Cricetulus griseus: one gene and its partner. The protein of the gene in region 2 binds, or shares a complex with, the protein of the main gene of each other region. Links are inferred from orthologs where the notes say so. Each region holds a gene or a part of one and is shown on either strand. Other genes may lie near its edges. The genes, in order: Trim28 and Smarcad1.

Region 1 (14,679 bases), on a different chromosome or scaffold from region 2:
AAAAACAAACTGGTGTCAGGATCCTAAGCAAGAAGGAACAAATCCTTGCCAGGTGTTGATGGTACAAACTTTTAATCCCAACTCTCAACAGGCAGGCAGATCTGAGTTCAAGGACAGCATGGTTTTACAGAGTCCCAGGAAAGCCAGACCCTGTATTGTGGGGGGAGGGGAGACCAATAGAGAAACTCTAGAATCTCAACTCAGCACACAACCCTTTTTTTTTTTTTTTTTTGGTTTTTTGAGCCAAGAGTTTCTCTGTGGAGCTTTGAACTCAAAATCACAGATCCGCTTGCCTCTGCCTCCTGAGTGCTGGGATTAAAGGCGTGCGCCACCAACACCCGGCACAACCCATCTTTTTAGTGCAAGCTGATAGCTCCTATCTATGTGGCCACTGGGAGGCAGATGGTACACTTGAGACCTCAACCAGAGTCTCACTAGGTAGTGTACAAATCCTTCCCTGGGAAGTGAAGTCTTTGATATGGTGACTAATGCAGGGAGTGAGAGCCTAAATCCTCGGGAATATAGTCCCCAAACAGCTGAGGCATGAACGACTCGGTGAAGTTTTTATTAAATCCACAGAAGTAAAAACCATTTTGTGAGGAGGGACTGAAGGACAGGGCCACCAAGAGCAGGAGTCAAGCCACCAAAGGAGGAGGGGAAACGGGGTGGAAGGACAAAGACCAGAGCTTGACTGGGCTGACCACAAGAGCTCCAGCTTCAAGGACCATCGCCAGGACCACCAGCCAGCTCCTGAGAACTTAGGCTAGCACTGGGAAGGTTCAGCGGTGGCGGTTCTACCAGCACAGCAGAAAACTTGGTGTCACCAAAGGCGTCATTCATGCGCGTCTCAAAGAAGCGCTGCAGGCCGATGATGGACTGCACATCTGCCTTGTCCTGGGCCAATTAGAGTGCAGTGGTGAGTCCTGGCTCCCACCCCGCCAGCCCTGCCCGCCCTGCCCAATTAGAGTGCAGTGGTGAGTCCTGGCACCCGCCCCGCCCCGCCCTCCCGGCTTCAGCTGCAGGCCCACCTCAGTCAGCTTGTTGAACTGCTTGAACATGCGGCCCACGTCTTGGGCAAACTCCTGGGGAGAACTATAAGGGGGTGACAGCTTCTCTTGGAGACGAGCACGTATCAGGGTTAGGTCTAGGGTACCACCAGGCTGCTCCTGCAGGGAGAAAACATGGGCATAAGGAACACCCACCACCTCTTGGCATAACCCACACTCTTCTGTTCTGGATGGAACTCACCATGGAGAATGTAGAATCAGTAGCCAGCTGGTGCAAGGGACGACAGGGTTCGTGGCAGAAGAGGGCCAGAAGAACACGCTCACATTTCTAGGCAGGCAGTACAAGAGACGTCAAGAGTTATAGCATGGATGAGGGCTTCAGCTACTGGGCCACCCGACCAACTCCTATGCATTCAGCCCTCACCCTCTGGTTGACTGGTGAGAGCTTGGCTACCACACCAGTGCTATCTGCTCCATCCAGGCTAAGGCTTCCATCTTCTTCCTTTAGGTCAGGGAGCACATGGCAGAGTGAGCAACTCCACTCCTCCCTATGGTGAAGAGTAGCAGAGATGTCAATCATGACAACTAGCCCTCCGTGACCGATCACCTGACGCTGCCCACCCTCACACGTACCCTGGCACGTCCTGCAGGGCAGGGAGGTGGCAATCCAGGTGAAAGCAAAACTCGCACTGGTTGCACATGACCAGGTCACCTGGCTTCTGGCAGACACGACAGATAGTGGCACTGTCATCCAGGACACCTGGTCCACCTACAGGGGCTGAGGTACCCTCAGGAGCCACCACTTCCAGGCCTGAGCTGGTACTGCCACTAGGTGAAGCCAGACGGGGTCCCTCAGCACCAGGGCCTTCAGCCAGAGCCATCAATACGGGCTTGGTCTCAGGACCCTCAGTGGCAGCAGGTGGAGCTCCAATAGCAGCTTCTGTCTCTTCTTCCTATAAAACAGGCTGAGTGTTATTATATCCAAATCTGGGGCGACAGATGTCCCTCTCTAACCACTGTTCTGCATTTTAGGACAGACTCACCTTGACAATAGCCATGCCAGGCAACGGTAGGGCACCAGGAGCTCCTGGAGGCACTGTTCCAGTCTGACCAGCAGCTGCTGCAGCAGCACCACGCTCAATAACAATCAGATTGTAGTCCTCAGTGGTGCTGCCAGGAAAGACCTTGAAGACTGGTGGCTGGCTATCAGCAGTGAGATCCAGATCCAGACGTTCAAGGCTCACACGCGGCACCTTCCGCATGAGGCCACTTACCTCCCCCTCACCAGAGCGGGACCTGTAAGTATAGCATGTTATGAGATCCTACGAGTCTCTCTCTACCACACCGCTAAAGTACTACACCCAACGGGCTGCCACACTCACCGCTTCATGCCAGACACATGCGGCTCTGCGCTGGAGTATGGATCATCTGTGGGAAGACAAAGGGTTGGTAGAAAAGACAGACACAGGGTACTCACCAAGCCCTTCCAATTCCCCAGGCAAACTACTTACCCGACCCAAAGCCATAGCCCTCTTGTACTTCCATGGGCTAGAGAAAGAACAGAGAATGCTCATCAGTGGGGCAAGTACTCCACGGCACCCTATGGCCCTCACCCCTTTCCTGATTTCTCTCCCCAGCGCACCTGGCTGCTGCCAGAGCCTTGCTTGCTTAGGGGCCCTGGCGCTCTTGGAGGAGCCATGGGCCCAGGACCTGTGGAGTTTGTACCAGGACGCTCAGCCACGATCTTACCTAAACAAGAGAAAATTCTCAATAGACGAAAGCAGTACTGCCCAAGATGCTCCCCAGGTCAGGCAAAAGCAAAGCCCACACTACCTACCAAAAGCTTCCGCACTCTTGGTCCAGGCATTGAGATCCCACTGAAACTTCATCTCCCCATGAGGTTCCACGGGGTCCACAATCATTTTGAGAGCGCGGTGCAGCTGGAAATAGATCTGATGGGGCAAAGGGGCAGAAAGGCAGCACATGAGCCCACTTGGCAACTTAGAGGGTCCCAAAGGTGCCGAGGGCCACCTGGCTCAATGAAGCCCACACTACACACCAGCTTCTTAGACAGCAAGAGGGCTGTATTGTTATCACTCTCCAGAGCCCAAGAAGCAAATCGCAAAATGTGTTCCTGATGCTTCTGGATTTTGGTCATGGTCCAGTGCTGGCGCTCCAGGCGCTCCTGCTGCCCCTCTGTCACTTTCTGCAGGTCAAGGAGAACAGGGTTAGCAAGAAGGCAAGGCAGTGAAATTAGGACCATTCTCCACCCAGGATGGGGTCATGCCAGGAACATGAGCTTCACCTGGGCATCATTGACCAGAACCCGGCCCCGTTTGTTCAGCTCCTTCATGATCTGCAGAATGGCCATCTTGACATCGACCTGCACACGCTTCTGCACGTCAGAGACCTGGCGGATACTAATGCACACGACAAGTCAAGCCAGAAAGCCTTGCCCCAGGACCCCAATAGCCCCGGCACCCCAATAGCCCCGGCACCCCAATAGCCCCGGCACCCCAATAGCCCCGGCACCCCAATAGCCCCGGCACCCGCACTTACGAGCTGCGAACCTCCTTGGTGTTCTTCTGCAGTGTGGCATGTTTGTCCCCCAGGCGCTTCACCAGAGAGGCCAAGAGTTTACGCTGGTTCCGCACTGCATCTTCCAAAAACTGGTACCTGAAACCACAAAAAAGTGAGCCTGCAGGCTCAACTTGCAAGCAGTGGCACCCACCTACCCACTGTGACTTTGGACTCACTGATGGTCCTTGTGAGCGTTGAGCTGGCAGTCCCGGCAGGTCAGAGTGTCACAGCTCTCACAGAAGAGCACAAGGGGTTCGTGCTTGTGGACGCTACAATAGACTGTGCGCTCACCATCTGGAGTCTTAGCAGGCCCTGCGAAGGAGGAATCATGCCCTTAACCATCTCCAACTCAAGAGCAGACATAACCCACATCCATTTCCAGCTCCTCCTACAACCCTGGCCACCTCTGGAGAAGACCTACATCAACAACGAAGCATTATGGTCTCCCAGATGACCACACCATCCACAATATTGGATACAGAGAGCTTGTGAAGAACCTCCGTACTATTTCCTGGTTATCTGTCTTTCTAACAAACCATCCCCAAATAAACAAGATCGTGATGGCTTAGACTAGTGACACCCAGACAGCAAAACACCAGTACGTCCCCATTAAAAAGCTAATTACATTACCAGCACCCAGGAAACTCAAAGATGACCACAAGTTCAAGGTAAGCTACAGATAGTGACTCCAAAGCCAGACTTGTCTCTGTAGCTGAGACTGATCATCTTGAAAAGAAGAGAGAGGCCGGGTGTGGTGGTGGCGCACACCTTTACTCCCAGCACTCGGGAGGCAGAAGGAGTTCGAGACCAGCCTGGTCTACAAGAGCTAGTTCCAGGACAGCCTCCAAAGCCACAGAGAAACCTTGCCTCAGACCCACCCCATCCAAAAAAAAAAAAAAAAAAAAGCATAAAACAAGAGAGGCTGGACATAATCCCAGGACTCAGAAGACAAAGGCAGACAGAAGTCAAAGACAGAGTCTGATTGAGATCAACCTGAATTACAGACCACCCAGGACTACATACTAACCTATCTTCCCAAAAAGGTCTGATGAGGCCCAATAGGATCTCTGTTAAGTGTGAAGGCCAGCCTGGTCTACATGGTGGGTTAAAGGATAGGAATGGCTCTGTAGACCTTTTCTCAAAATACAGAAATGCTGGGTGTAGCAACACCTTTAATCAGAGCACAAGAGGCAAAGGTAGGTATCTAAGTTGATGCCAAGGCTGTTGACAGAAAAAAACGTTTGTCTTGGGGGAAAAAAAAAGGGGTTGGGGTAAAACCATGCATACTGGCAAGTGCCTTTTGTTTTTGTAGAAAGAGTTTCTGTCTGGCCTTGGCTGTCCTGAACTCACTCTGTAGACCAAGCTACCCTTGAAGCTACCCTGCCTCTGTGAATCAGATGTGTGCACCACCACCGCCAGGCTTAATCCAAGCAATTTTGGAGCTATGGAAGGAACATCAAGAGTCCAAGGCCGCTGGGCGGTGGTGTACACCTTTAATCCCAGCACTGGGAGGCAGAGGCAGGCAGATCTCTGTGAATTCAGGACCAGCCTGGTATACAAGAGCTAGTTCTAGGAAAGCCTCCAAAGCCAGAGAAACCCTGTTTCAAAAAACATAAACAAATAGAGTCCAAGGCCAGCCTGGGCTATAATAAGACAATATCTCACCAAAACAGAAACTAATAGACTTGTCAGTCCCCTTCCTCCCAATTCTAGTCCAATCCAGACTATACTAACCAAGCCCAAACTACGTACCAGAACACAGGCCAGTCATCATTACCCAGTGCTGTACCCCTGTTCTGTCCTGACAGAACCTACAGATTCCTTCCTATGCCTCCTGGCTTCTCAGACCCCCACACTACCTTCCACTACCACCAGCACCCTGTCCTCTGGGGTGGGAATCAATACAACTATCACACCAAAAAGTTGCTCCCCACTAAGGCATCTGTCTGGCCCAAACCACCCACCCACCCCAAAATCAAAATCTATTTCACACCCAAGCCACCATACAAATTTAAAATCCTAGATTATCTGACCATGAGTCTTCAGGGAAGGTACCATACTTAAGGCTCACTGGAAATCATTCCAGGACTCACCCTTACTGATGGACCAAAGCCTTACCAACCTGTCAAGATGGTTGGTCAAGAAACCCTTCCTGGGGGCTGGAGAGATGGCTCTGAGGTTAAGAGCACTTGCTGTTCTTTCTAGAGGTCCTGAGTTCAATTCCCAGCAACCACATGGTGGCTCACAGCCATCTGTAATATCTGGTGCCCTCTTCTGACCTGCATGAATATATGCTGCAGGCAGAACACTGTATACATAATAAATAAATCTTTAATGAAAAAATAAAAGAAACCCTGCCTGATCCAGAGCCCTTACTTTTCCAGCAATCTAAAGCCAGAAGCCAGACAGGGAACATTCAAATCCAAAAAGTCATTTCCATCTTGCTTTCACTGGCTGCTTACGATAAGGTGTCTACCACCAGGACCCACTCACTCACTGTCTGAGTTTCCCAAGATGGTATTAGTTCAATCCTTAGTATTGACTGCAACATACTTAAGACACCCTACACACACTGCCTGGCTAGGACCTTTCCCTTCCCATCTAGAACCCCAGATTACTGAACCCAGGAACTTTTTCTGTTGTGTCAGGTCCCTGGAAAACCATCCAGCAAGCAGCCATTTTGGGCAAATGAAAGAAGAGGGTAGCTCCAACAGCCTCCAATTTTTCACCTACCTGTGGAGCGCACAGTGTGGTCCTTGGTATACTTCACCCGCTGGTGGGCCTCCACACAGGTCTCACACAGTGGCTCAGAGCACTCCACACAATAGCTAGTGGCTGGGGCATTATCTTCACAGCTAGTACAGCACTGTGAAAGAGAGGAGGGTTAGAATCGGCAGAACCGCGCAGCAGACACGCCACTTACTTCCCAGAACACACAACCTAAACTTCCTATAACCATGCCCTCAAATCTGTACTGCCCTCCGGGAAGCTGGGGTTAGATCCCGAAAACAGCCAAGCAAGCTGAGGATGGTGAGGCTCCAGAAAAAGGACGCAACAACCCCTTTCTCTCCCCCAGGACAACGCACCTGATTAGCATCCTGTGAATCGGAGGAAGCCTTACTGCCGCTATCACGCATGAAATAATTCTCCACGATGTCTTTGGAGTAGCACTGCTGCTTGCACACTGGACAATCCACCACTGCGGGACACAAGGGCGTGAACGCCGGACATTCTCCGGACCTGCGTGCCTCCCCCCCCCCTCCAAGAAGGCTGTGACCTGCGTGCCTCCCCCCACCCCCCACCCCCCAAGAAGGCTGGAACCACAGACAGACACAAATCTACCCTTCTCCCTGCCCTGGCGCTACTTTCCCATCTCCTACCACACTCTGCATCTTCGCGGACGCGGACCAGGGGGGCCACGCGCACATCAGCGCAGAGGCCAAGAGCTCGTGTGTCCCACCCCCCCACCCCCAGCCTAAAGCCACCGGGGGCTAACCCAACCCTCCCCTCCGCTACCCTACGTGGGGGGGGAGCCCCCCAGACTCTCGCACAGGCGCAGGGCTGCAGGGAGGGGGGAGGAGGAGGAGGAGGGGGGAGGGGTCCCCCGGCCACCCAGCCCCACTCACTAGCGCCGTCGCCCGCTGCTGATGCTGCCGCTGCTGCCGCCGCGCCGCCGCCGCCATCCCCGGAACTATTCGCCGCCGCCGCGGCGGGTGCGGCGGGGCCGAGGCACGCGCTGCAGGCCGAATGCAGGCAGGGCAGCAGCCGAGGCTCCCGCTCGGGCCGCAGGCGCTCGCGGCACACGCCGCAGTGCTCCAGGAGCTCCTGCGCCTCGCCACCGCCCCGCGGGCGACGCCGCCGCCGCCGCCGCTGCAGAGGCCGCCGCCGCCGCCGTCGCCGTCGCCGTGGCCGTCCGTGGCCGCAGAAGGGCGGCGGGGCGCTTGTCGCCGCCCACCGCCGGCCCTCGCCGAGCCGGGGCTGCCGGAGGTCGCCGTGGCCGCGCGGCCGGCCGCCGAGGCTGCTGCAGCCGCCGAGGCCGCCATTCTCCCGCCCCGGGGGGTGGGGGGTGGGGTGGGGGGGGGCGGGGGGCGGAGGGAGGGGGGGCCCGCCCGGGGGAGGAGGGGCGCGGAGGCCGCCGCGCAGGCGCACGAGCGCTCGCCGCCAACGGCCGGGGCCGGGCCGAGCCTGCGCTGCCGCCGAGCCGCCGCCGCCGCCGCCGCCACGCGTCTTCCCGGGGCCGACGCCCGCGCGGCGCGCGCCTCTGGGGACGCAGGCGACACAAAAATAGAAAGGAAAAAAAAGACAAAAAAAAAACAAAAACCAAAAAAAAAAAAAAAACCGCGGCTGGCTACCCGGCCTCGCTCCCTTGCGGACGACGAGGACGACGACGACGACGGCGCCGCCCCCCTCCTCCGCCTCCTCCTCCTCCTCCGCCTCGGCCCGCCGCCGGGGACCTCGCGCTCCTCGGCTCGCGACTCGCGAAAGGACCGTCCCCGACCGCGCGCCGCTCGCAGAAAGAGCCGCGGCCCGGAGGCGGGACAGAAATATCTGGCGCCCGACGCCGCCGCGCACGCGCGCTGGGCGCCGCCACCCCGGGCGGGCGGGGCGGGGCGCGGGCGGGCTGAGCGAGAGGGCGGGGCTAGCGGCGATTACGCACGCGCCGGTGTGCCCGGGCCTGCGGCTCGCGGCGGCGCCCGGCCGCCCGCCTCTTCCTCCCCCCCCCAAAAAAAAAAAAAAAGAAATAAAAAGAAAAAAGAGCGACGGCCCCTCCCTCCCCCGCGCGTGCGGGAATCCGCCGGGGATCGAGAGAGAGAGCAGGGCGCGCGACGACGCCTCCCAGGCTCGAGGCGGATGAAACGCGCGGGTCGTGCGGAGCTGCACCTCGAAGCCACGCCCCCTCGGCAGGCGGGGCGACGTCTGCAGCCTCCGGCGGGCCAATCGGCGTCGGGGAGAGGCGGGACGATTCCCGAGTGGGCGGGGCCGCGGCGGAGCACCGAGAGAGAGAGAGAGACTGAGCCCCAGGTGGAGGGGGCGCGCGGGGTCTCCGGCAGGAAGGAAGTTCCCGCCGGAACGCGGAGGAGGCGGTCTCAACGCAAACTTTTTTTTTTTTTTTTTATTGTTAAAACTCGGGAAGCAGAAAGTTCGCCCAAGTGGACCCCGTAGATGGATCACAAAGGACTAGGGAGAAGCCGTTCTGTCGAGGGGACTCTGCCCACCCCCATCACCCCTTCTCGTGTTAGCCATCTGCTCTCCTGATTTGCCTGGGGTTTAAAAGCGGGCCGGGAGGGTGGGCGAGCCGAACGTTTAGCGCAGCGGAGGAATAAAAGTTGGATGGGAGTGGCGGATCTCATGTGAGGGGCAGGACGGGGACCCCGAGAGAGAGGCAATCGGGACCTGTCCCGGGAGAGGAGCAGGGTCCAAGATGAATCTGATCTGAAGAGATCAGCAGGGTTGCGTGGCTATTAAGAGTCCCAGGATCAGTGTGGGGAAGGCGATCTGTCCCCCCCCCTTCCCGCCCCAGCCCCGTGCTGAGGGCGATCGCCCCTGCCGCCTCGTGTAGTGCCATGAGCACCCTCGGTGTGCACCCTAGGTCTGGACTGCTGCACGCTGGCAGGTCCAGGGTTCTAAACAGCAGGAAGCTGCCACCTCGCTGGGGAACCAGGTGTCCCCCACGTGGCAATGGAGAGGCGAGGAGTGAGTGTCCCGCCACTGTCCCGGGTGTGGCCTTTGTTCCCAATCCGTCTGGGGGCCCGGGGCTTTGTCCCCGCCCCAGCCTTTGTTCCTTCCTCCCGCAGCTCAGCGCTCACCCTCCAGCGGGCCACGCCCCCACCAGACCCAGCGCCTGGACTCTCACTTCCTACCTCCAAAAAGGAGGGCATAATCTGCAGGCTGGAGAAGCAAGCACGGGGGGGGGGATGGGGGGAAGTGTGGGCGTCCCGTAGAAGTATTTGGGGAGTATTTCACAGCCCCACCCATAGCTGGCCCCGGGATCTCCAGGGTAAGGGGCCTGTGAACTAAGGCTACCTAGGCCCGGAGCAGATATTAGGGTACCAGACGCAAGATCAAAGTAGATAATGGTGGGGCCTGGGGGTTTGAAAGAGGGGCAGAACGCTTGCTCGCCTGTCCTGTGCAGAGCCCTAGGTTGCAGCACCAGCCCAGCAGAACCAGGGCACGGGATGGGGGTGAGCGGCGGGAGAGGGGCGATGGAGGCCGAGGAAATGGCTCAGCGAACAGAGGCGCTTGCAACCCACCCTGACCCTATTAGTTTAATCATTAATCCTTCCACAAAGTGGAAGGAAAGAACCAACTCCCTCCCTCAGGTTGTCCTAGGTTCCTGTGCATGCGTGTGCACTCACCACACACCCCCCCCCCACACACACACACATACACACACCACAACCAATGCAATTTAATCTTTTCCTTTTTCAAAACAGGGTTTCTCTGTGTAGCCCTGGCTGTGCTGGAACTCACTCTGTGGACCAGGCTGGCCTCGATTTTCACAGAGATCCGCCTGCCTCTGCCTCCTGAGAGCTGGGATTAATGCGGAGCATTACCGCACCCTGTGCAACTTAAAATTTTAATAGGTATTGGTAGAAAGTACAGAAGTAACTATCAGACACCGTCCCCCCAAAATGAAAAAAGCCCTGTAGCTAGCTAGAAACCGGTGCTAAGACCCATGGCAGGACAGACACGGGTTGCATGTAGCTCAGTGCTTTGGCAGGTGCCTGTGATCCTAGCCCTGTAGAGGCAGAGGCAGAACAGGATGAATTCGAGGACAGCCTGTGCTAAATAGTGAAGTCAAGTTGGGATACATAGTCTGCCACAACAGCGACAAAAAAAGCACATTGTTAATTTAGTGAGTTCTGATTGGCCTGGTCTACAGAATGAGGCCCTGCCCCAAACAAAAGGATTAAGAGCATTTGCAACTCTTGCTGAGCATCAGAGGTTCAATTCCAAGCACCCGCGTGGTATCCCACAGCCATCGGTAACTCCAGTTCCAAGGGATCCAATGCCCTCTTCTCACTTCCTCCAGCACCAGGGACATAAAATTATAATTAAAAAAAAAAGAAAGAAAAATCACCAGGCGTTGGTGGTGCATGCCTTTAATCCTAACACTCGGAAGGCAGAGGCAGGCAGATCTTTGTGAGTTCGAGGCCAGCCTGGTCTACAGAGTGAATGCCAGGATAGGCTCCAAAACAACAGAGAACCCCTGTCTCAAAAAACAAGCAAACAAAATATCCAAATACATAAAATCAAAAATAAAAGTTCAAGAAATGTCAATATATGTATTTAGAACACACCAGATAAACTCAGATTAAAAATAATCTCCCTGTTTAAGAATACTGAAATTGCTGGGCAGTGGTGGTGCATGCCTTTAATCCCAGCAAACAAGAGGCAGAGGCAGGCAGATCTCTGTGAGTTTGAGGTTAGCCTGGTCTCCAGAGTGAGTGTCAGGATAGGCTCCAAAGCTACACAGAGAAACCCTGTCTCAAAAAAAAAAAAAAAAAAAAAAAAAGATTCCTTTTCCTAAGCAATAAACGCTTAGATGTTACAGAAACTAAGATATATACATTTTGATGGATGAGGGTGTATTGTGCTGAGAATTAAGCCCAGGGCTTCCTGCAAGTGAGGTCAGCATTCCACCACTGAGCAAACCCCCTAACTTAATGGGGGACTGTAGGCAAGTGCTGAACCTCTCACTGACTGCCTTATATCCCCAGCCTTTTTTGTTTGCTTGCTTTAATTTGAGGCAGTGATTACTCTATTGCCCAATCCCCAAGCCAGTCTTAAACTCCCTGTGTGGCCTGTCAAGCTATTATCTGAGTTCCCCTGCCTCAGCCTCCTGAGTAGCTGGGCTTACAGGGGAATGCCAACATGCCTAGCATTGAAACATCCCATCCGACCCCATCACCATGACCAGACAGGATCTCACTACACAGCCCTGGCTGTCCTGAAACTCCCTTTGCAGATCAGGCTGGCCTATAACTCGCAGAGATCAGCTTGCCTCTGCTTCCTGAGTCTGAAATTAAGGACATTGCATCAGCTTGCCTCTGCTTCCCGAGTTCTGGAATTAAGGATATCCTTAACCACTACTCTTGGCTGTAACCAGTTTTGTTTTGTTTTGTTGTAATACTTTTTATTTTATATGTATTGGTGTGAAGGCATCAGATCCCCTGGAACTGGGTTTACAGACAGCTGTCAGCTGTAAACTGCCATGTGGGTGCTGGGAATTGAACCCGGGTCCTCTGGAAGAACAGTCAGGGCTCTTAACAAATGAGCCATCTCTCCAGCCCCGGCCGTCACCAGTTTAAACTTCATATTAATCATGGTATTAATTATGGTTCTCCAGATGCTCTTGCTCTTCCATTAGCTCCGGATATAAATATATGAAAAGTTTCTACACCCCAATAAGCCTCTCCACTGATGCAGCAATCCAAACCAGACCAAATCAAACCGAATTAGAAAAAGCCCACATTTAATGGATACAACGCTCCCAGATCTCTGACCAGTCCCCCAGAGGGGAGATAGGGGAAGGGAGACCTGAAAACCCACAAGTCTTTTTTTGGGGGGGAGGGGGCAGTTTAAATACCCTGTGGGAGGGGTCTTGAGCTTCTCTGGGGGAGGGTCATCATTTGGCAGGCTTTATGAAATGCAGCAGGGTTTGGAGATAGGGGAGGAGCCTTGGGTGGAGTTTCCACCATAAAAATATATAATATAGCATATATATTATACATATATATATATGTTTGGCTGGGTGTTGGTGGCACATGCCTTTAATCCCAGCACTTGGGAGGCAGAGGCAGGCAGATGTCTGTGAGTTCGAGACCAGCCTGGTCTACAAGAGCTAGTTCCAGGACAGTCTCCAAAGCCACAGAGAAACCCTGTCTCGAAAAACCAAAAAAAAACAAAAAAAAACCAAAAACAAAACAATATATATGGGAAAGTCAGTAATTGGAGACATGGTGATGACAGAAGGAAGCATAGTGAATAGCCAAAGAATGATAGAAAAAGAAGAAAATAGCCAAAGGACTGACTGAGGAAATAGCCCAGAGGTACAGCAGTGTTTGCTAAGCCTGTTCAAGTCCCTGGATTCAGTCCCCAGTACAGCAAAAAGAAGGATGAAGAAACGAGGAACTAAGGATATGTATACTCCGTTGGCAGTATGCTTACCAAGCATGCACAAAGTCTTGGGTTCCAAACCCATAAAAAACTGGGGTGCAGGGTTGGGGAGAGGAGAGATCTGGAGAGATGGCTCAGTGTTTAAGAGCACTGACTGCTCTTCCAGAGGACCAGGGCTCAATTCTCAGCACCCACACGGCAGCTCACAACTGTCTGGAATTCCAGTCTCAGGGGACCCGACATCCTTGGCAAAACACCAATGCACATAAAATAAAAGTAAATAGCAACAACAAAAGAAAAAAAATGAAGAAACTAGGGTGGGGACTAATGCCTGTAATCCCATATTCCCAAAGTAGACAGAAGAGATTGGAAGTTCAAGGTCAGCCTAGGTTTTACATAATAATAGTCGATACTTGAACAGACTTTTTTTTTTTCTCAATATGAGGTCTCTCTGTATAGCTTTGGAGCTCTGTAGACCAGGCTGGCCTCAGTCCTCCTGCTTCATCCTCCCCAGTGCTGGAATTTTTTTTTTGGGGGGGGGGTTTCCAGACAGGGTTTCCCTGTGACTTTGGAGGCTGTCCTGGAACTAGCGCTTATAGACCAGGCTGGTCTCAAACTCACAGAGATCCACCTGCCTCTGCCTCTGCCTCCCAAGTGCTGGGATTAAAGGCGTGCGCCACCACCGCCTGGCCACAGACAGACTCTTGGACAGGACACCAAAGCCTTCAGCATTATACAAGCCAGCTACAACTCACAGGGTTAGGACATGTGAGCATAGGCATTGATTATTTGCCTTTCCTTTGTTCCAGAAAAGCCCTTCCCACAATGAAACCTTGTTTTAATTTTTTAAAATACATTTTATTTTTATGTGCCTTGGGTGAGGGTGTCCTGGAACTGGGGTTACAGACAGCTGTGGGCCACCATGTGAATGCTGCTGGGGATTGAACCTGGGACCTCTGAAAGAGCAGTCAGTGTTCGTAACCACTGAGTCATCTCTCCAGCCCCTGAATTCTTAAATTTTTTTTTAAGGGGTGTAGGGTGAAGAATCTTATGCACTTTTTTTAGACAGAAAAAAGTGGGTAACAAACCCACCTCGAAATTCAAACATGATGGATAGAAAGGAGAAAATCTATGAAGACTGTGAAAGCCAATGCCATAGGTCAAATTAGCCTTCTTCCTGAGTGTTGGATTAAAGGCATGCACTTTCTTAGACAGCCAGGACCACCTACCTACCTAGGAACAAAACCACCCACCTAAACTGTCTCACCTCAATCAGTAATTTTAAAAATGTCCCATGGGCCAGGCGGTGGTGGGGCACCTCTTTAGTCCCAGCACTCTGGAGGCAGAGGCAGGCAGATCTCTGTGAGAAACCCTGTCTCGGAAAAAAAAAAAGTCCCATGGGCTGGGTGTGGCAGTGCACACCTTTAATCCCAATACTCACCAAGCAGAGGCCAGTCTGGTCTACATAGCAAGTTCTAGGACAGCCAGAGTTACCTTATAGAGACCTCAAAAACAAAACAAGGTTTTCCCACAGGCCAGTCTGGTGGGCACAGTTTCTCAACTAAGGTTCCCTATTCCCAAATGACCCTAGCCTACAGAATGTTGGCATGAAAATTAGCCAGCACGACCACTCCCACAAGGTATTTAAAATGCCCCCCAGACACCAGACTCATGGTTTTTCTGGTCTCCCTTTCCCCTCTCCTCTCTGGGGGACCGGAAGGCCATCTGGGAGAGCTATATCCATTAAATGTGGGCTTTTTCTAATTCGGTTCCTTTTTTTTTTTCCAGACAGGGTTTCTCTGTGTAGCTTTAGAGCCTATTCTGGCACTCGCTCTGGAGGCCAGGCTGGCCTCGAACTCACAGAGATCCTCCTGCCTCTGCCTCCTGAGTGCTGGGATTAAAGGCATGCACCACCCAACGCCCTGCGGTTTCATTTGGTCTGATTTGGATTGCCGCGTTGGTGAAGAGGCTT
Region 2 (15,349 bases):
AAATTGTTATGTATTATGTTCTAGATGTACTTTCTTAAAATGTACATAGCTTGTAAGAGTCAGGTTAAAAGGTAAGGCTCATCTAGATAGTTCTGGGTATTTTTTGTGTGTATAACCAAAATATCAAAATTATATATTATAGAAAATTTCTATATTAGTATAGAAAATTAGCAAATTACTATTAGCAAAAATAAAAATCTGTAATATTTGTTGTTTCTTTGTCAGTTTATCACTCAAGCCCTATCAGAAGGTTGGTTTGAATTGGCTGGCCCTGGTGCATAAACATGGACTTAATGGAATCTTGGCAGATGAAATGGTGAGTTTATACTATTAATAGAATTTTTAATTCAACATGTCATTAAAAGATATGTTGTCATTTGAAACATGGCATCATCTCTTGGAGTTGTTTGCTTTCTTGTGGTTTTTGTTGTTCTTTGGTTGGCTGGTTGTTTTTGTGGCGCTAGCTATCAAACCCAGGGCATGCTAGGCAAGCATCCTACCATTGAGCTACATCCCTAGTCCTCCATTGGACATTACAGTTTTTGCTGCTCTTATTTCAGTATCTTACACTTTCTCTTATCTTTCTTTGTTTTTATTGCTTTAGTTTTAAACCTCACTCCTCCACAACTGAAAGAAGTTTATCTTTCTGGTTATTATTTTATATCAAAGTAAATATTGTATGGCAATATCAACAAAATCATTTCAGTATCATTTTAATTTTATTAAATGTCTCTCTGAGTCATTTTTCCCCAAATTACAATTGGTTTTTGGGATAAGCTCATGAAGTTTGTTATAACCATTAGTTTAGGTATTGTCATATATGAACTTAACTGTTAATCTGATGTGTCCTCCACCTTCCTTCAGCTGTACTTGTAAAAAAGCATTTGTTGAACATGAGTTATATGCTGGCTATGTTGCCCCAGTACATGGGAGACAAAGGGTGGAGGATTTCAAGTTTGAGGGCAGCCTGGCTCACATGCAAACCCTACCACAAAAAGTAAAGCAAACAAAGAAAAGGTTGGGTCCAGTGAATAAGCATTGGATACATTAAATCACGTTGTCTACTGGAGTCTAAAAAATGGACAAACATAATACTGCTATTTCTGCATATTTAAACTGTCACTCTATACTTACTAAAGATGCTATTATTCAGTGTAAAAGTAAGTAATGTCTGAGGCATTTCAAACTTACAAAAATCAGTTGTAAAGAGCATGGCAGTTGTATAAATGAACTTGGGAATCAGACCTGGGCTTTGGATGCCAGCCTTGCCTTTCATGGACCATCAGATGACATAATCTTTCAGAACTAATATTAATAAAAGTATATAGTTTTTATACCCAGATTATATTTGCTATCAAAAAGCCAGGTGGTGTTGGCACACATCTTTAATCCCAGCACTCAGGAAACAGGCAGGCGATCTCTGTGAATTCGAAACCAGCCTGGTCTACAGAGTGAGTGCCAGGAGAGGCTTCAAAGTTACACAGAGAAACCCTGTCTTGAAAAATCGGAAAAAATAAATATATAAAAAGAATATGTGAAGTTAATTTTGTTATCTATAAAGCACAAATTTGTAAGTTGCATTAAATTTAAGTTTGCCAGAACAAAAATACCATGATCATACCATATAAGTTTGTTTCCCATAGAAGACCAAGATGTAGGTGGTAGCAGGCTTGGCTTCTTTTAATAAAGGCCTCTCCTCTTTTCTTGCAAGCAATGACATTGTTTCTGTGTCCTCAGATTTCATTGCCTTTTTGTGCCAATCCCTGAGGTCTCTATCTTCTTAAAAGGACATCAGTTTGAGTGGATTAGGACACCACCTTCAAGACTGCATTTACCTTAAATCTCTTCCTTATGGTCAGTCCTCTAAATACCGTTATCATTGCATGTTAGGACACCAGCATATGTATTTTGAGGAAAGAATACGTTGAGTTCATAACAATGAGTTGGTGCTACTTAGATCTCTTGAAGTGCTTGTTCACGGACCTTTTGTGTTGTGCCTTGTTTTTTTGTTTTTGTTTTTTTTTGTTTTTTGTTTTTTGTTTTTTCAAGACAGGGTTTCTCTGTGGCTTTGTAACTAGCTCTTGTAGACCAGGCTGGTCTCAAACTCACATAGATCAGCCTGCCTCTGCCTCTGCCTCCCAAGTGCTAGGACTAAAGGCCTGGCTTGTTTTTGTTTTGAAGTAGGGATTCATACTATTTCCCAAGCCAGTCTGGAACTTTCTGTACTATAGCCCAAGATGTTTGTTCTTAAACTGGCCTAGATCAGCCTGCCTCAGCCTCCCATGTGGCTGAGGTTACAGAGGTGATCCACCAAGCCCAGCTCTATACCTCAGTTCTGAAACCTGTCATTAGAGGCTGACCTCAGGCTACACTGTATACAGTTCATTCTGTCTGGCTCATTCAATACACCTGATGCTACTGGGGTTCATCTGCTACTATTTTATCAGTTTGTTTTCTTTTTTAATTGCCATGTAACATGGTCTTCTTATCTGTCCTTAAGAGTGCAATTGCATAATAATAGAGTTAGGTATATGTTTTGATCTAGTTATGAAATATAGTTCTCAGTCCACCTAGGTCACAGTAAGTTTTGTGCCTATAATAAGCAGAATTAGTCTTCTTCTAATACAATGCAAAATTCTTTCCTATTAAATGTGTGTCGTGTATAAACTAACTGCTAAGATTCATTATCTATGCTGCTCATTGAAATAAATTATAGAATCATTTGTGGAGATTTTACTCAGTTCATTTGAGGGCTATGAACTTTGTTGGAATTCCGAGAAGTGGATTATGGGAAATGGAAAAATCAATCCTGCCCAGAAATGCTCCTTTTTCTTTGTTACTTTAACTTACTTATTTCCATTCATTTTAAAGTTTCATATATTATCTTTTAAACTTTTAATTTTAGGGCCTGGGAAAAACCATTCAAGCCATTGCATTCCTGGCATACCTTTTTCAGGAGGGTAATAAAGGGCCTCATTTGATTGTTGTTCCAGCCTCGACCATAGGTTTGTAATACTGGGGACAACTCTTTGTGTTTTTCATGATGTCTTGTATTGGTGTGCATATGTGGTGACGAATATCAATTTTTTTGGCCTGTTTTCTCTGTTTTGTAAACGTCTCTGTGTGTGAGATAGAGAGGGTGGAGTGGGGAGGAAGGATGAGGGTGAGTGAGTTTGGGTTCATTGACAGTGGTTTCAAGGAATTTGACGTGGTCATTTATTTTGATTTCATAATACTTAGAAAGTATTTTTGTAGAATCAGCGGAGCTGGGTGTGATGGCACACACCTGTAATTTTAAGTGCTTGGAAGGCAGAGTCAGGAGAACTAGGGTTCAAAGTCATCTTCATATGTATATTGAGTTTGAGGTCAGCCTGGGCTACAGTCTGTGTGAAGAAAAATATAGCCAAATGCAGAAAGTATACAAAAAATATGGTGTAATTTTAGGAAGTAGGAGTTGAGAAGAGGTCTTACTATACTGTCTATCCATGCTTCCATGAACTCTTGGAGTTGGGTAATCCTCCTGGCTCAGTTCCTGGGTAGTTGGTATTACTACCCTACCCAACTTTAAAATAAATATTTGAATCTAAAAGTATGTCATTTCATTCCTGCTTAAATCATTCATCTATTCTTTCTGAATTAATTCAATGTACAAGTTGGGGTGAGAGAGTTTTTTTGCATTTAAGTATACAGTAAAAACTGTCTCTGAGCTGGGTTTTCACTTAAATGAGGTTGTGTTCTGTTCCTTTCCTCTGACCTTGATGCCACTTCAGATCATGAGGGGTGATATTCATAGTGCTGATTTCAAAACAAAACTGACTTAATAAACCTATAATAGCAGATTCAAATAATCTCTTGTGTTTTGTAGATAACTGGCTAAGAGAAGTTAACTTATGGTGCCCCACATTAAATGTGCTCTGTTACTATGGTAAGTCATTTGATTTTCATCATAAAGTTCTTCAAAATTAAAACAGATAATGAAACACAATTGATACAATCAAAGTATGCTTCATTTTTGAATTCTAGGCTCTCAAGAAGAACGTAAACAAATTAGATTCAACATCCATAATAAATATGAAGATTACAATGTAATTGTTACAACGTGAGTAATAAGAAAATTTGGGAGGAGGTGGAGAGAATTTGTATAGTTCTCCTTTTCTTAAAATTTCATTTATTTATTTATTTATTTGTTTGTTTATTTGTTTATCTTTAGGTAGGGTCTCATTATATAGTCCTGGCTGGACTAGAACTCTGTAGATCAAGTCCTGCCTCTGCCCCCCAAGTACTGAGATTAAAGGCATGTGCTACCATGCTCAGCTAGAAAAATATCTTGTAATAGTAATGTCTAGGTTAGTTTATGCTGGGACTGTGCAACTGAAGTGATAGGGTGATTTATGCTCACAAAGAAGGTATTTACACAACTTATTGTGTAAAGCTTTTTTTGTGTGTGTTTTTGTTTTGTTTTGCTAGTTGGCTAAAAATGGGGGTAAGATTTTTGTTCATTTAATTGAAAACATAGCAAAACTCAGTTAAGCTTAAGTTAAAATTTGAGGTTCCACACCAGTAGTTTATTTTTCTAACTTGCAAATAAGTGTTGATAATAAATATAATGAAGTCTCCTGCTCCCAGTGAAAAGTCTGAATTAGGCCAGACTAAGGATGATAACTACATTATTTCTCTTTGTTTCCTTCTGTTTTTTTTTGTTGTTGTTGTTGTTGTTGTTTTTGTTTTTTGTTTTGTTTTTTTGTTTTTGTTGTTGTTGTTTTTTTTGAGTTGGGGGGTTCTCTTTAGGTGGCTGGTCTCAAGTTCATTTAGCTGCTGAGTATTTCCTTGACCTCTGGATCCTTTTGCTTGCTCCCTGCAGTAGCTGAGATGTCAGGCTAGCACCACACCCAGTTTCAATATATCTTTAAATAATCACTGTGTGGTTGGAATTATTGTGTGTGAATGCATGGTGGAAAGCTTGATGTTTTTATAACACATTTAAATTATTATTACTGCCACCTTCTATAGGAGTCCATTAGAAAGAATTTGTCCAAAATTTCAGTTTTTTTTTTAAGGATTTAAGATATTTCATGTATGAGCATATGTGCCTAAGTGTGTCTATACGCACCACTTGCCTCTAGTTGCCAGCAGAAGCCAAAAGAGGGTTTCAGATCTCCTGAATCTGTAGTTACATGCAACTATGAGCTGCCAGGTTAGATGCTAAGAATGGAAACCAGGTCCTCTGTTCAAGACCAAGAAGTGTTCTTAACTGCTGAGGCATCTCTGCAACCCCCTTTAAAAAGATTTGTCATTTTTGTCTTAAGTATCCAGAACCCATATATAGTCTTGAACTCTTGGGTGTTAACCAGTAGTTCTTTGAACTACTCTTCTGTTTCACCTTTTGTTGTATTCTGCTTCTTAGAAAAACTTATGGGGCAGAGTATACAGCAGTGCTAGATTATTTCTTTTTTTGGTTTTTCGAGACAAGGTTTCTCTATGGCTTTGGAGGCTGTCCTGGAACTAGCTCTTGTAGATCAGGCTGGTCTCAGAACTTACAGAGATCTGCTTAAGCGCCTCTGCCTCCCGAGTGCTGGGATTAAAGGCGTGCACCACCACCGCCCGGCAAGTGTGGCTTGAATCCACGACCCTAAGATTAAGAGTCTCATGCTGTACCGACTGAGCTAGCTGGGCGATTATTTCTAAGTTATTCTGAAAGTGACTGCTTCCCAAGTGTGTCAGTTGTCGAATATTGTAACATTTAAATTTCCTTTTGGTTAATATTGCATACTTTGATTACATGTATGTAAATATTCATAAAAATAAGCAATATTTGACATCCTGACTGTTTAGTGTTGTCTTGTTAGAGCTATTCAAAATGTCAAAAGAAAATAATTCAGAGACCAGTGAGACAGTTTAATGGATAGGCAATTATCCCTGTACCAGGCAACCTGAGGAAGGAAAGAACATGACCTCTACACCTATCCCTTTGGAGTCACACGTGTACTTATATAACAAACAATAAATAGATGTAATTAAATAAATTTTTAAGAAAAAACTCCTAAATGGTGTAATGTGAAGTAATTTTTTTTTTGACAATAGATATAATTGTGCAATCAGCAGTTCTGATGATAGAAGTCTCTTTCGACGGTTGAAACTGAATTATGCAATTTTTGATGAAGGCCACATGCTGAAGAATATGGGCTCTATCCGTTACCAGCACTTAATGACAATTAATGTAAGTGTGCTTAATAAATAGTTATGATAAAATTGACTTTTCCCAATGTAGCTCGTGCCCACACACACGGGGAGGGCGGGGATGAGTTAGTTTTATATTAAGGAGCCAGCATGCTTTCTCTTTAAGGGTCTTTACTTCTTGGTGGGCCCTGGGGCCACTGTCATGGTTTTTTTTCTTTCATGAGTAATTCTTTAAAAATTAAAAAGAAACATGAAGACAGAATTTCATGCCCAGTCCCACAGCCATTTAGTCCCAAATAAACACATAGAGGTTTATATTAATTATAAAGTTTTTGGCCAATGGCTCAGGCTTCTTACAGGCTAGTTCTCTCTTAATTGTTAATCCATTTCTATTAAACTATATATTGCCACGAGGCATGTTACTTCTTTGACAGCTACATGGAGTCTCTCTGGTGAATCTCTGCCTTTCTTCTTCCCAGAGTTTTCCTAGTCTGGTAGTCCCACCTGTGCTTCCTGCCTGGCTAATAAGAGAAACATATATTCATAGCATACAGAAGGACATCGCCCATCAGAAATACTCTTAGTACTATGTTGCACAGGAGCTTCAATTTTGACAGGATATATATATATATATATATATATATATATATATATATTACAGTTTATCTTTTATCACTTCATAGAAGTTATTTCAGGATGCAAGTTACTACTTTCAAAACGTGACCAGCAGTTTCACATTCTGCCTGAAGTATATTAGATGATAATAACTGACATCAATATCTCAACTTTTCTTCTATCACAGAATGTAAAACTCTTAATGATGATTATAATTTTTTAATAGCCTTTATTGGACAAGGTAGACAAGAAGGGAGCGAGAGGCACTTAAAGAAAATTAATCTATGTTTTGTCTTCATTTTCTCAGGCAAATAACCGTCTATTGCTCACGGGTACACCTGTGCAGAATAATCTGTTAGAGCTCATGTCATTATTGAATTTTGTTATGCCACACATGTTTAGTAGTAGTACAAGTGAAATCCGGAGGATGTTTTCTTCTAAAACAGTAAGTATGCATGCATGTTTTCCCCAAATGTATAGCTGTTGGTCTAGGCTCTTCACTCATTTCATCTCTTACTGTTTTCGTGGTACATGCTCTATCAAGTGAGATTAAGTGCTTGGTATACCTATATGTGAACATATCAGTCACAGTATGGAGAAAAATAATGATCAATTCTATTATCAGTATTCAGGAGTTTTGACTTTTTTGAGCTGAGTAATAGTTTCAAATTGGTTGAAGAGCTCAGATATCTTGCATTATAGGCATATTTCCTTTTTAAATATGTGCTTTATTTGGCTTCCATTAATTTTAATACCTTATACAATTATCATTATCAAAATACCATTATCAAAACAAAACTTGTATAATACTATCAACTAAAAGACAAAGTTTGGAAACTAGTACTTAATACCTAAATTAGAAAGATTGCCCATCTTGGAGAGGATGAATGGGCTTTCCAAAGCTAGAACCTAGGGCTTGGTCTTAGAATTTAGGATTTTCAGATACCCAAGGATTTCCTGTCTGCATAGTCACTTTCTTGGGAAGCCAGATGCTTCTGGGAGTAGAGTGTAGAGGTCTTACCCAGAAGGGACTATTAACCCAGTGACTTCCTGACTTCCCTTTAGATCTACCATGTAGAGTCTGATGAGAGAGAAAATAGTGTGTTCTCAGACTCATCATTTATTTCATAAGGATCGCTCATGGTCTATGACTCAGAAACTATAATTATTGTTACATTTTAGAGGACAATATGAACATTCAAAGATGCCCAGGCTTTATGCAACAAGCTCCATTTTACTGCTTCATCCCATGGCTCTTGTTCTCTACCTGCTGCAGTGGAAAGAGAGTTGACTGCACTCAAGGGGTTCCAGTTCTCTTCTTTGAGCTGAGGGACCTTATCTAAGCAGTCTCTTTCTTGAGCATTTTACTTGAGGCTTGAGAACATCCACCCCTGAGATCCTTAAGATGGCCTTCACCTTTGATTTTCCTATTTGCCCACATGAGCAATGTGCATGTGTACATTCGGGCAAGAGGTTGACATGCGATACCTTCCTCTTTTGTTCTCCACCTTATTGTTTTACTATTATTAATTTATTATTTGATAATTTCATATATAATTATAATGCATTCTGGTTGTGTTCATCCCCCACCCCTCTCTTAACTTCTTCCTACTTCCATCTGCTACCCTCTTCTAGCCAAGTGCCAATCCCACTTGGCAAGCCACTGGGCTTAAATCACATCTATCATCTATTTGAGCATAGGTAACTCACCAGTGGCTATACCTTGAATACAATGATTTTGATTTTCCTAGCATATCTGACTACTGTTAAGTCCTCTGGACCAGGCCAGGCCTAATGATCCCTGCTCCCATCTGTGATTAAGTGTTTAGCAATTCTGTCTCATGCATTCCCCTAGTCAGTCTCCATTGCTGTGCCACGGCCAGGCTCTACCCATAGGACAGCATTTCATGGCTCTCTTTCCCATCATCTGATTCTTATACTCTTTTCTGTTCCTTCTTCCAGGGTGGCCTGTCAGCCTTACAAAGGGTGATGTGAATGCCTTGTTTAAAGCTGTGCACTTGTTTAAGGCTGAGGACCATACTAATCTGCTGTCCACTGGGATGTACACTAACCATTGCTAGGTTTCTAGGGCTCTGTGAGCTTGTCTGTTCTTTAAACCTGTCTCATCTCTGGACCACTGATTCAAGTGCCCATCAGCACTTGGTACCTCTCCACTGAACTGAAACACTATTTCTGTTAGACTTGATTTGTATTTTTTCTTAAAAGATATCTGTGGATTGTTCTACTGTCCATATCTGTCTTTTTGGTCTTTACTGATTAATTGCTCCCACTTGATGTGCAACTATAGAAATAGACTAGGAGATTTTATGAACTATTCTTCTAGTTCATAAAAGCTCTAGTTTATGGGTACTGTCCCTGTTTTTAATTTCTGTGATTTGTATCAAATTATTGACATTGGGGAAGACCTCTTTTTACAAAAAAGGTTGTTGCCCCCCCTCCTCATTCTCTCTTTAAACATGAGTACACATTTTTAATCCATGTGATTTATTCAGTCAGTGACTGAATTAGATGGTTGGGTTCTAAAGACCAGCTAGTCTGATTCAGGTTTATTACTTCAGTAAAATACATGATAATATAATGGGAATCCTCAAAATGTATATGGAGCTTCAAATACATTACAACTCAGAATTTAAAAGGAACTTTCTGGGCCCAGACAATAGCTTGGTGTAAAGAACCTACCTGTCATCCAAGGCCATGAGTTAGACGGTCAGATGTGCATTTCTATCTGTGAATCGAGGGTCTGCAGATTATGCATATTGTAAAATGAGATTGTTGGGATGATTTAAAGACATGACTTCTAAAGGGTTGGATTTTTATTTTGCTTAGAAACCAGCAGATGAACAGAGCATATACGAAAAGGAGAGAATAGCACATGCAAAGCAAATCATAAAGCCGTTTATTCTCAGAAGAGTGAAAGAGGAGGTAATTCTTTATCTCAGTGTTTTGGGTTACAGTTTTTTTTTTTCTTAAGAATTGTTATTAGAAAAAAAATCTTAGAAAAATCATGAAGTGATTTTCCTTTCCAAGGTTCTCAAGCAACTGCCTCCTAAGAAGGATCAGATTGAGCTGTGTGCAATGTCAGAGAAGCAGGAGCAGCTCTACTGGGGCCTTTTCAACAGATTGAAAAAGTCCATTAACAACTTGGGTAACATTTGACTTCACAGCTTATGGAAAAGAATGATCTTAGACTAGGGCATGTGATAATTAGGGGTTGTTGTTTTTGAAAAGTTAGCTGGGTTTTGAAGAATTTTTGTTTTCAAGACAGGGTTTCTCTGGGTAGCTCTGGCTGTCCTAGGACTTGCTCTATAGATCAGGTTGGTCTTGAACTCACAAATATCTCCCTCCTTCCTGACTGCTGGGGTTAACAGCATCCACCACCACCACTGCCTGGCTTGGAATGTATTTTTAAGTCTTAAAAATTAAGGTAGACTTTAGTAAAATAGCTCTCTATTACTTTTTTAATGTATACTCTCTGGACCACAGAAAAAAACACAGAAATGTGCAATGTCATGATGCAATTGAGAAAAATGGCCAATCACCCTTTATTACATCGCCAGTATTATACACCTGAAAAGCTGAAGGAGATGTCTCAGCTAATGCTGAAGGTAAGGGCTTATGCTATACTTCCACTGAGCTTTGCTAACACTGGGAAATATTTAGGATAATCTTATGATGAAAGTCAGGCTGCTTTAACATTGGGCATATTAATCTTTGAACCACTGCAGGTCTCGCGCATGTACCCAAACTCTTCATCATCTATTCTGTAGCCCTATCCTGAAATACATTTTATAGGCAAAGATATCTGAGGGACAAAAGAGAAAGGACAGATAATTAGGCCTAGCATCAGCAAACTGGGCCAGTAACTCTTCTTTTGTTGGAACACAAACATGGCCATTTATCTGTGTTGTTTTCTTAGGGTTTCTCACTGTAGAATAGAGCTGAGTAAAAGTATAGTACACAACACTCTCTACCTACCAAGCGAAAAATTCTAGTATTTACCAGCTGCCCCCGACCTTTCATGCTAATTTCTCAGCTAGACTTTCATAATACACATTTTTAAGTTAAAAAAAAAAAAAAAAAAACTAAACTGAAAGATCCCTCAGATTTGTTCCTGGCTAATGTGACAGGTTTCCCGTTTATTTTCTCCAGTTTGTTTTTCCTTTGTTGTATTGTTAGTTTAGTCTTTATTTTTGACTCATTCTTTCTTAGCTCCTTTTTGTAGATAAATCTATATTGAATGCAACGAATTGTCCTAATTATTTTAAACTTATGGAGAATTTTAAACACAAAAATACAAAGAATTCCTATAATGGACCCTCTGGCCATGATACTGTGATATGTTTTTAGTTAGCATTCATAATGCTACTATTCTTGTTTCCTGTAAGCCCCTAGATAACTTTGCCAAGATTATTTTGAATTTTCTGTTCAATTTTTAATTCCAAATTATGAATAATTATTTACATGGTAAGGGCAAAAAGGGTGCTTTTATATGTTAGTAATGACTGTCTCAATAAGAACTGTTCAAACAAAATAGGAGAGGATGTTTTTCCTCTGTGTTTGAACATGCTCTCTCTATAAAAGTTAAGAAATCTCCCTTTCTTTGTGATACTCCAAGTTAATACTCATTTCTAATCTTTAATCTGTTGAACTAAAATATTGGCTGGCTTGAGTATTTATTCAAATGTGAAATGTTTTTATTAAATTAGTCTTGTCATATTATGAATTGATTATTATTATTATCTTGGTGTGTGTGTGTTTCATTTTAAAAAGGAACCTACACATTGTGAGGCTAACCCCGACCTGATCTTTGAAGACATGGAAGTTATGACAGACTTTGAACTACATGTACTTTGTAAACAGTATCGACACATTAATAATTACCAGTTAGACATGGATTTGATTTTAGACTCTGGGAAATTCCGAGCCTTAGGATGCATCTTGTCGGAATTGAAACAGAAGGTATTTACAAGGATAACTGTCTCTTTGTATCTGCCCAATTGAATTTCTGAAAAAGAAAGTATCAGAAGAATGACTTGGGCTTTGTTTTTGTCCTAGTCAGTTCTATCTCCTAAAGATTAGTCTATGTATAATAGGTTCTTCTTTTTGTAGAACTTCAAAAAAAAATCATTATTTTGAAGGTAACAGATTTTGTCAAATGGTACTGCAATTTGTATGTAATAGCTTGGATTTTCAATGTTAATTTCCAAGTAGTGATTATGTAGCTTATCTCATTGAGTGATGCTGTTGTATTATGAAAAGGATTAATCTACTGCATTTAACTTAAAAAAACTGAGAGTTAAACTTCTGAAGTTCAAAAGTTAAGGTAATTTATCCATATATAAGGTAAAATAAATTTATCCTTGGTAACATTATTTGATTTTTTTTCCTTTAAAAAGATTTATGAATACTAAATAATTTTATCATGGGGAATATTCTGCAAAGTTGCCAAAAGGCTCTTTAAAGGCACTCCTTATTTTGTAGACCTCAAGGCTTTGGGTGGTGTAATGGTTTTACTTTCCTGTTTCTAATCCATAAATGTATTTCCACAGGGTGATAGAGTTGTATTATTCAGCCAGTTCACCATGATGCTGGATATATTAGAGGTTCTTTTAAAACATCATCAACATAGGTACCTCCGATTAGATGGAAAGACTCAGATATCAGAAAGGTTGGTATTAGCTGCCAGACCTCACTCATTTGTGTATCTGCTAGCATCGTAAATGTAGGGAACATTTCATAGAAATTTCTTGTTTTAAATCTTAGGCTATGTTATTTCAAATTATTACTTGGGGTGTGGGTGGTGGCTCTTGTTTTCCTTTAATATATTTTCTTTTGGTTTTGCAATTGTATACAGATATAATCTTAAGTATTATATGTATGGTTTTCATTATTTCCCCTTTTATATCATTTTTATTTTGCAGTGTTAGGGATTAAATCCAGGACTTTTTGTATGCTAGGCAAGTACTCTGTAACCAAGACATAGCCCCAGTCCTGAGTTTTTCTCTTTTAAAAATAACTATTCACTTTTAAGGCATCTTACTGTTTAACCAACATTGTTTTAAGGTCAGATTTTTCATATTTTGAAGGTTAATTAAACTTTAAAAGAAAAAGTTCTTTTTCGACAGGAGCATCTAACATTTGAGACCAGCCTAGGGTACTTAATGAAACAGCCCCTGTGCCCACCCCTGCCAAAAAGAAATCAAACCCCAAGATCAGTTCTTACAGGTTTTTTTAAAAAATGAAGAAAATAGAATAAATTTTCTAATCGGTTTAAGTGGCATTTGTATCCTGGTTTATTTTTATCAGCTAGGGTGATCTCTTCTCCCCTCCCCATATTAGTGTTAAGGATCAAAGTCATGACAAACAAATCCTAAGATACAATTAGATCGTGCAGTTAATCCAGTATATTGGTATCTACTGGTAATAGCTGTCAGATTGCTGAGAAAGTTAGAGTAGATAAGTATTATTTACCTAAATCCAAAGTACTCAAAAAATATAGTAGTACTTCAAAAATTAATTAAATGGAATAGTTGGATTGAATTGAGAGGGTCCTTCAGACATAGGAGAGAAGAAAGTATGTATAATGGGACAAGCATGTATGTATAGCTCCTAGGTTTACTTTCCATGTGAAGTGATTGTTTTCAGTTTTACATATTTTCACTTAGTGAAATTGAACCTAATCCATTTGTCTTACAGGATTCATCTAATCGATGAGTTTAATACAGATATGGATATCTTTATATTTCTCTTGTCAACGAAAGCTGGTGGATTAGGAATAAATCTGACTTCAGCAAATGTTGTTATACTTCATGACATTGATTGCAATCCATACAATGACAAACAAGCAGAAGACAGGTGCCATAGAGTTGGTCAGACTAAGTAAGTATTGTCAGTTAAAATTTAGTTTTCATCAAGTACTGGCTTGATTCATACAGATTACTAAAGAAGGTGTGCTGGATAACCCTGCCTTTAGGTTTAGTTTTTACAGCAAAGTAGAGCTGCTATTTTTTCTATCAGCATACATTGATGCTATCTATTAAGTACTATACTATGTACTCACTCACTTTCTAGTAATTAAATTAGCCTCCTACCTCTAATAGTTCTACAGTTATGAGATGTGTATTATCAGTAGTGGTAGTTCATACCTGTAACTGCATCACTTGAGAGGCTAAATCAGATTGCTACAAGGTTCAGGCCAGCCAGCCTGACCCTACAAAAGAGCAAGTTCTAGGTCAGCCTGGGCTCCAAAGAGACCTGCCTACAAACAGGAAAAATAATGTATGCTAAGATAATCATGCTTGTCTACAAATGCTCTTCTACCAAACTCTATCTCCAGTTCCATTGAGGTTTTATCAGTAATTTTCAAAGTACACATATTTTTCTGTTTTCTTCAATCAGTAGGAAAGGATGAATGTCTGAACATTTTAGTACTTCTAAATGTCAGTCTCAAGTAGTTTGAATAAAAGAGGTTAATTATGAATCTTTGTTAGTCACTGTTCTTTCTATTGCTGTGAAGAGACACCATGACTGAGGCAACTCTTACAAAGGAAAGCATTTAAAAGCATTAAACTTGCTTACAGTTTCAGAGGCTTAGTCCATTGTCATGATGGTGGGGAACATAGCAGTAGGCATGCTGCACATGGTGCTGGAGCAGTAGTTGAAAGTTCTATGTAGGCAGAGAGACACTGGCCTACTGTGGGTCTTTGAAATCCCAAACCCACCCCTGTGACACACTTCCTCCAACAAGGCCACACCCCTTCTAATCCTTTCAAATAGTGACACTCCCTTCTGGTGACTAAGCATTCAAATATATGAGCATATAGGGGACATTCTTATTCTAACCACCAGAGTCATTTACTTTTCTTACTGTTCATTTGTTTGTTTGTTTTTCAAGACAGGGTTTTTCTGTGTAGCTTTGGAACCTGTCCTGGAACTCATTCTGTAGACCAGGCTGGCCTCAAACTTAGATCCGGCTGCCTTTGCCTCCTGAGTGCTAGAATTAAAGGTGTGAACCACCACTGCCTAGTCTTTTCTTCTTATTATTCTTGAACTACTAGAAATAGGTATCTAAATGATTTTAGTGACCTGTGGACATGTCATGTGTTTATTTTTAGAGAAGTATTAGTTATTAAATTAATAAGCCAAGGAACCATTGAAGAGTCCATGCTAAAAATTAACCAACAGAAGTTGAAACTAGAGCAAGATATGACCACAGTAGATGAAGGTAAGCTGTTTTTAAGTAGAAATGCTGATATTTATTAAAGTATAGGTTACTAGAGTTCTTAACTATTGTTTATGGTTTGTAGGAAAAGATATGCATACTTATGTCAACTGCAACAGTAACTAAGATTTTTTTTTTTGCCAGAATTGATAAAAACACCTTGATTTTTTAAAACATCTGTTTTTTCCATATCATATAATGGACACCATAATATCCTCCAAATAAAATCAAGTTTAGATCTATACCTTCATTCACAATTTTATGATATGTTCAATAAATGAGTAGTACTATCAACTCAAAAGGTTGAAAGCATAT

The links.
Region 1: the proteins of Smarcad1 (region 2) and Trim28 are in contact, whole or in part, in a crystal structure (PDB 6H3A), measured with the Homo sapiens proteins. The link is inferred for Cricetulus griseus from reciprocal best matches to the Homo sapiens genes SMARCAD1 and TRIM28. Residues at the interface, in NP_001362784.1 of Homo sapiens: Asp156, Leu157, Ala160, Lys161, Gln163, Thr164, Glu167, Leu168, Phe169, Asp188, Gly189, Ala190, Ala192, Leu196, Ala201, Gly202, Gly203; in NP_005753.1 of Homo sapiens: Arg330, Trp333, Thr334, Lys337, Ile338, His341, Leu376, Lys377, Ile379, Val380, Asp381, Val383.

The regions. Positions count from the first base shown.
Region 1 is NC_048602.1:25,606,877-25,621,555, reverse strand, and holds the end of Trim28 (transcription intermediary factor 1-beta), read right to left. Parts: intron 9,612-14,679; coding exon 9,560-9,611; intron 9,445-9,559; coding exon 9,261-9,444; intron 8,209-9,260; coding exon 7,945-8,208; intron 7,849-7,944; coding exon 7,214-7,848; intron 6,787-7,213; coding exon 6,674-6,786; intron 6,454-6,673; coding exon 6,321-6,453; intron 3,900-6,320; coding exon 3,764-3,899; intron 3,684-3,763; coding exon 3,567-3,683; intron 3,428-3,566; coding exon 3,313-3,427; intron 3,214-3,312; coding exon 3,067-3,213; intron 2,960-3,066; coding exon 2,845-2,959; intron 2,757-2,844; coding exon 2,650-2,756; intron 2,556-2,649; coding exon 2,519-2,555; intron 2,436-2,518; coding exon 2,390-2,435; intron 2,304-2,389; coding exon 2,051-2,303; intron 1,961-2,050; coding exon 1,641-1,960; intron 1,556-1,640; coding exon 1,432-1,555; intron 1,336-1,431; coding exon 1,249-1,335; intron 1,167-1,248; coding exon 1,029-1,166; intron 895-1,028; coding exon 718-894; and 2 more. UniProt on the Homo sapiens protein: Nuclear corepressor for KRAB domain-containing zinc finger proteins (KRAB-ZFPs).
Region 2 is NC_048601.1:77,804,207-77,819,555, reverse strand, and holds part of Smarcad1 (SWI/SNF-related matrix-associated actin-dependent regulator of chromatin subfamily A containing DEAD/H box 1), read left to right. Parts: intron 1-225; coding exon 226-316; intron 317-2,905; coding exon 2,906-3,005; intron 3,006-3,865; coding exon 3,866-3,925; intron 3,926-4,023; coding exon 4,024-4,099; intron 4,100-6,081; coding exon 6,082-6,217; intron 6,218-7,099; coding exon 7,100-7,237; intron 7,238-9,639; coding exon 9,640-9,735; intron 9,736-9,840; coding exon 9,841-9,958; intron 9,959-10,296; coding exon 10,297-10,418; intron 10,419-11,583; coding exon 11,584-11,772; intron 11,773-12,362; coding exon 12,363-12,481; intron 12,482-13,509; coding exon 13,510-13,692; intron 13,693-14,927; coding exon 14,928-15,037; intron 15,038-15,349. UniProt on the Homo sapiens protein: DNA helicase that possesses intrinsic ATP-dependent nucleosome-remodeling activity and is both required for DNA repair and heterochromatin organization.